2 linked regions of the Oryctolagus cuniculus genome follow. The protein of the gene in region 1 binds, or shares a complex with, the protein of each later gene. Links are inferred from orthologs where the notes say so. Each region holds a gene or a part of one and is shown in the gene's direction. Other genes may lie near its edges. The genes, in order: ARID2 and PBRM1.

What was found.
Region 2: ARID2 (region 1) and PBRM1 share a complex: the UniProt entries of both Homo sapiens proteins name them as parts of the SWI/SNF-B (PBAF) chromatin remodeling complex. The link is inferred for Oryctolagus cuniculus from reciprocal best matches to the Homo sapiens genes ARID2 and PBRM1.

The regions. Positions count from the first base shown.
Region 1 is NC_091440.1:136,658,242-136,661,126, forward strand, and holds the end of ARID2 (AT-rich interactive domain-containing protein 2), read left to right. Parts: intron 1-539; coding exon 540-684; 3' UTR 685-2,097; downstream 2,098-2,885. UniProt on the Homo sapiens protein: Involved in transcriptional activation and repression of select genes by chromatin remodeling (alteration of DNA-nucleosome topology). Required for the stability of the SWI/SNF chromatin remodeling complex SWI/SNF-B (PBAF).
Region 2 is NC_091441.1:97,124,517-97,128,342, forward strand, and holds part of PBRM1 (protein polybromo-1), read left to right. Parts: intron 1-2,381; coding exon 2,382-3,024; intron 3,025-3,826. UniProt on the Homo sapiens protein: Involved in transcriptional activation and repression of select genes by chromatin remodeling (alteration of DNA-nucleosome topology). Required for the stability of the SWI/SNF chromatin remodeling complex SWI/SNF-B (PBAF).

The DNA.
Region 1 (2,885 bases):
TTCTTATAACATGAGCTCAATCAGACTTGCTCCACCCTGCCAATCCTGTCTGCTTTTCACAACGTGTGTGAGCTCAGTGTCACTCCTTCTTCGCAAGGTCACACACTCACTTCTGTAATCTCTCATCTCTGTGACAAAGCACGTGAGTGTTGCGATTCGGGGACCGGGAACATCTGTGGTTCTGCATTTTTAGAAAGCAGCTGCTGTAATGGAGTAAGTCAAGCTAGATGGAGTCACTTTTCATCCTGTGAAACTCGGCCCGTGGTGTGAACTTTGATTTTATTCCTCTCCAGCTGTTCTCTGTCACATGAATCTTCCGAAAGCATGAATGAAGACAGGGATGCCGTGCAGGCTTCCTTAGATGGGAAGGCAGCACGGGGAAGACGCTGAGGGGCCCTGGCCACTTCCTTTATGCTGCACTGATGTGGCCTGGGTGTGCAGCTAAGCAGTTTCTGTTCTAGCTCCTAAACTCGTAAAACTTTGGATCAGGAATCTTCACTGTTACCTTGAGACTGATGACTTTCTGTATTTCTTTCCAGATTACTAAAGAGACATGAAAACAACCTGTCAGTACTTGCTATAAGTAACATGGAAGCTTCCTCCACCCTTGCCAAATGCCTTTATGAACTGAACTTCACAGTTCAGAGCAAAGAACAAGAACAAGACTCAGAAATGCTGCAGTGAAACAGAATTCCACTTCGAGTGGGGACTGCAAGTCAGATACATTTCACACACTGTTACTGAAGAAAGCACCAAGTCTTAATGGAACAGAGACCATGGAATGAATTATTTTATCTCCTCCCTTGATGTTGAGAGGAAGTTCGTATTCTGATCTTTGAGCGAATCCCTTTTGTTCTCTGTTTGAAAAAAATCTAAAAAGAAAAAAACTGCTGTGGGATTGTCAATCAGCTCATCTGCAGGATGCCTCTCAGACCTGAAGTCCTGATGGGAACCGGTATGATCAGAATTCAGTACCATCCACATTGGAGTAGACATGGGATCTTGTAAAATCTTCACGAGCAGATGAAATAGAAGCATTAAATATTTTTATCTATATCCAAAAAGGAGCACATTTTTATATTTACTAAACAGTTTAAGCTGGTTTGAATAATTAAAAAGTTTCAGCACACTTATACCCCCTGGTCTCAGAGGGGGCCACCAATATCTAGCTATGGATTGTGTGTTTTGTTTAGAAATCAGTAGCTTGGTTTTCTTACTTGAGCCAATATATTTTCACTTATTTATTATCATAAAAATTTACCAGTCTGAATAGATCTTGTAAATATTTGTGAATAGAAGGAACACCTTTCATGCCGCTGCAGCCACTGGAGATACATTCTGTGGTGTCCTAGAAGCATTACCGATAGGTTCTCACGTTTTCTAGACTTCTGTCAATTGTAAGTAATTGTGATATATTCTGCGCAGTGGACGAATGTTCTTCAATCTTTGTAAATACTTCTGCAAGGTACTGATGCTGTAAAGTCAGACAGTTTTGTGGGACTGTGATTTTTTTTTCTTTTTGTATTATACACCTTGTAGAACTCATTTTGCTGGCTGAAAAGAGTATGGAGTAATATATCTCATGTCATTTTTGTAGAAGAAAAACTCTTTGAAGGTATTTTTTGGTTTTTCCCTAACATGTATCCACTGTAAGCGTTTGTCATGTTTAAGCTCAGAGCTTGGACAGAAATTTTTGTATTTGTAAATTGGTTTGAATACATGGGATTTTATACAGGCGCTCTCCTGTGCTGTAAATGCATTCTGTGCAGTACACTTTCTCCACTCCTTTTCTATCTTCCTAGAGGTGGGGTTTATTGTCTAATTCTCCATTCTTAATACTGTACCACATTCCTGCTCAGATACTGCTCACTTCCCCAAATTGTCTTTCTCCCTCCCAGCGTGAAATGTACCCATTTATAACTGCCTATTGCCTGTTCTATTAGCATCCAAAAATGTGGAAGGCCTCCCAACCACGATTTCTGCTGTGTCCTTAGGATGTGCAGTTAAAAAAAATATAGACCTAACAGTTTCTGTTATAGAATGGCTTTATTTACTTTGGTGACTGTTTATAGTTTTTAAATAAAAGACTGAACATTTTCTTGAGTCCTTCATTTCTGAGTATGCTAAGCTATTTTTTAAAAACCTATAAAGAATCCTAAGTTGAGCTGAAGGCGAGGCCCAAACGGTCACCTACCTATTGTTTCTGTTGAGTGTTAGGGAGCAGAGGAGGGAGGTCCTCTACATGACACATTTGCATGAAATACATGGGAGATGGCCCTGAGGTTGATTTCTGTGTCCTGTAATGCAAAGCAAACCCAAATAATAGCCTGAGTGGTGCCGTTAGTGCTGAATATGCGCTTTTTATAAATTATTGGATACTGCACACTTGCCTGAAATCTTATTGATACTGTGTTTCTTCAGAACCACAGTATAAAACAAATCTTCAAACTGAGTATGGGGGCAGATTCTTTGAGTGAAAGGACATGCAAATTTTTAAATTTTGGATTCGATTGATATCGAATACTCTGATTTCTCCCTGAAGGGGGTTCCTGGCACTGCACCCTGCCAGTTCTAAAATGATCGCTTTGAGAAACCTCACGCAACATCAGTCAGGATTATCTCCCGGCACTGTGAGGCTTGCACTGACATCAGGTGGGGGGTGGGGTGGGGGGGCTTCCTAGTCACTTACTATCCAAAAATTCTTGATTTTTCTGAAGTAATTTTGTGTCCTATCAATGTTTGTCTCTTTATTTCCAAAATAAGAAACTGCAACCGTAGTTAAATCAGCAAAGAGCAAAGGCTCCTCCAAGCTTAGACAAAATGATTTTCATAGTCACCATCTTCCACCTCACTGAACTGCACGCTGTAGCTCCAGCTTTTGTGCT
Region 2 (3,826 bases), on another chromosome or scaffold:
AATGGTGATGATTCAATTTTATCACTCCATGCTTCTGTATTAGATGAATTATTTCTTTTTTCTTTCTCAAGATGTATTTATTTATTTGAAATACAGAGTTGCAGAGAGAGAGAGAGATCTTCCATCCACTGGTTCACTCCCCAGATGGCTGCAATGGCTGGAGCTGTGCCAATCCAAAGCCAGGAGCCAAGAGCTTCTTCTGGGTCTCCCACGTGGGTGCAGGGACCCAAGGACTTGGGCCATCTTCCATTGCTTTCCCAGGCCACAGCAGAGAGCTAGATTGGAAGTGGAGCAGGGGGCCTCGAACCTCTACCTATATGGGATGCTGGCACTGCAGGTGGCAGCTTTACCCACTACACCACAGCGCTGGTCCCATGGATTATTTCTATATAAAGAATTTTTTTCCTTGTTATTTGGTTAAGCAGTGGTACAGTTTTTTGTTTGTCTTGTTTTGGAAGAATAAAAGCCTGATTTTTTTCTCTTTTTTTTAACCAGTTTTTATGATAGTATATCGGTTTACTAATACCCTCTTTTTTTTTTTTTTTTTTTTTTTTTTTTGCCAGGCAGAGTTAGACTGTGAGAGAGAGAGACAGACAGAGAGAGAGTTATAGACAGTGAGAGAAAGGTCTTCCTTATGTTGGTTCACTCCCCTAATGGCTGCTACAGCCAACACTGTGCCAATCTGAAGCCAGGAGCCGGGTACTTCCTCCCAGTCTCCCATGCAGGTACAAGGACCCAAGCACTTGGGCCATCCTCCGCTGCCCTCCCAGGCCACAGCAGAGAGCTAGACTGGAAGAGGAGCAACTGGGACTGATACCCAGTGCCCCTACTGGAACTAGAACCTGGGGTGCCGGTGCCGCAGGCAGAGGATTAGCCAAGTGAGCCACGGCACTGGCCCCCTCCAATTTGTTTTTAAAGATTTATTTTATTTTATTTGCAAGTCAGAGTTACACAGAGAGAGAAGAGGCAGAAAGAGAGAGAGAGAGGGGTCTTCCATCTGCTGGTTCACTCACCAGTTGGCCGCAACAGTCAGAGCTGCGCTGATCCGGAGCTTCTTTCAGTTTCTCCCACGTGGTCGCAGGGTCCCAAGGACTTAGGCCATCTTCTACTGCTTTCCCAGGCCATACCAGAGAGCTGGATAGGAAGTGGAGCAGCCGGGCCTCAAACCAGCCCCCATATGGGTTGCCAACGCTTCAGGCCAGGGTGTTAACCACACTGCACCACATTGCCGGCCCATCCTCCAATATTTAACTACGTTTTTGTTGGTCCTTTTTTTTTTTTTAACAGGCAGAGTGGACAGTGAGAGAGACAGACAGACAGAAAGGTCTTCCTTTACCGTTGGTTCACCCTCCAATGGCGCTGTGGCCGGCGCACTGGGCTGATCCTAAGGCAGGAGCCAGGTGCTTCTCCTGGTCTCCCATGCGGGTGCAGGGCCCAAGCACTTGGACCATCCTCCACTGCACTCCCGGGCCACAGCAGAGAGCTGGCCGGGAAGAGGGGCAACCGGGACAGAATCTGGCGCCCCGACCGGGACTAGAACCCGGTGTGCCGGCGCCACAAGGCAGAGGATTAGCCTATTGAGCTGTGGCGCCAGCCAGTTTGTTTTACATGTATATGTATCATTATTAACAGCTAGCTTTATTGCTGACTTCAATCCATTTTAGTTATTCTCCTTATTGATGCTTATGTTGTCTCAGGCTGGCTCCTGTATTCTTTTAATGTGACCATCGTAAAAAATAGTTGATAGATTTTTTACAATGTGTTGTTTCAAGATACACCAGACTTGGAGTCAGCCATTTGTGAAGGAGTCCTAAACTTTGTATGTTTCTGTTAAAAGGCCAGGATTGTTTGAAATTAACGTTTTAAAACTGTGGTCCTGAGATATACTTCTACTAAGCTGGTCATTATTTCTATGACTTTCAATGGACAGACCTAAAAAATTGAGCATGTCTATGTATATGTGTTTATATTTAAAGATAAAATGCATCGTGGCTCAGTTGATACATTCAATTGCGATTCCAGGCTATGGAGCTTTTATCCATGTTCTTGGTTTTAACATCTGTGTCTCTCCTTCTCCCACAATGAAATCTCAGTTCTGTGGGGTTTCAGAGATGATGGAATAAGTATGCCACGTATCTACTGACTTGCTGTATCCCACATTATTCACAGCTAGCTGAGCGTGACAGTACAAACTGTCCGTTCAAAAATTTGATTTCTGAAAACAGTTAAATAATCTTTTGTAATGTATTTCACTGAAGATATGTTACTGTGTTTTGCAAATCACTTGTTCCTTTCTTATGGTTATGCTACCAATTGTATACAAATTTATATTCATTTATTTCATTTAATCCATTTAACATAAAATTTCTTTCTTTCTTTAGGTAGGAAGAGTGGCATATCTCCTAAAAAATCAAAATATATGACTCCAATGCAGCAGAAGCTAAATGAAGTTTATGAAGCTGTAAAGAACTATACTGATAAGAGAGGTCGGCGCCTCAGTGCCATATTTCTGAGACTTCCCTCCAGATCTGAGCTGCCTGACTACTATCTGACAATTAAAAAGCCCATGGACATGGAAAAAATTCGAAGTCACATGATGGCCAACAAGTACCAAGATATCGACTCTATGGTTGAAGACTTTGTCATGATGTTTAACAACGCCTGTACATACAATGAGCCCGAGTCTTTGATCTACAAAGATGCCCTTGTCTTACACAAAGTCTTGCTGGAGACTCGGAGAGACCTCGAGGGAGATGAGGACTCTCACGTCCCAAATGTGACTTTGCTGATTCAAGAGCTTATCCACAATCTTTTCGTGTCAGTCATGAGCCATCAGGACGATGAGGGAAGATGCTATAGTGATTCCCTAGCAGAAATTCCTGCAGTAGATCCCAGCTTTCCTAACAAACCTCCTCTTACTTTTGACATTATTAGGAAAAATGTTGAAAATAATCGCTATCGGCGGCTCGATTTATTTCAAGAGCATATGTTTGAAGTATTGGAAAGGGCAAGAAGGATGAATCGGTATGTTTTTAAAGCCATTTCTTTTTGAGGATGTGATGTTTAGTGCCAGGCAGTTGAGTGGAAATTGCTTTGATTCAGCTTATGTGTGTGATTATAGTTGTTACCATATTATTCTGACTTAATTAGGCTGAACTTCAAGAGTGAGATATTCCATGGAGAAGAGAGGGCACACTTCTTTCTGTTTTTTGTTTTTTTTTTTTTTTGTTTTTAAGATTTATTTATTTATTTCAAAGTCAGACTTTTGGAGAGAGAGAGAGTTACACAGAGAGGCAGAGAGAGAGAGGGCTTCCATCCACTGGTTCTCTCCCCAGTTGGCTGCAATGACCAGAGCTGCACCAATCCAAAGCCAGGAGCTGCTTCCGAATCTCCCACATGGGTGCAGGGGACCAAGCAATTGGGCCATCTTCTACTGCTTTCCCAGGCCATAGCAGAGAGCTACATTGGAAGTGGAGCAGCCGTGACTCGAACCAGTGCCCATATGGGATGCTAGCACTGCAGGTGGTGGACTCACCCGCTATACCCCAGCACCAGCCTTGAGGGCACGCTTCTTTTTTTTTTTTTTTTTTTTTTTTGGAAAAAGTTACAATGAGGCAGAGAGAGAGAGGTCTTTCATCCTCTGATCCACTCCCCAGATGGCCACAGTGGCCAGAGCTGTGCTGATCCAAAGCCAGGAGCTTCTTCTAGGTCTCCCACGTGGGTGCCCGGGCCCAAGGACTTGGGCCATCTTTTACTGCTTTCCCAAACCATAACAGAGAGCTGGATCGGAAGAGGAGCAGCCGGGACTTGAACTGGCGTCCATATG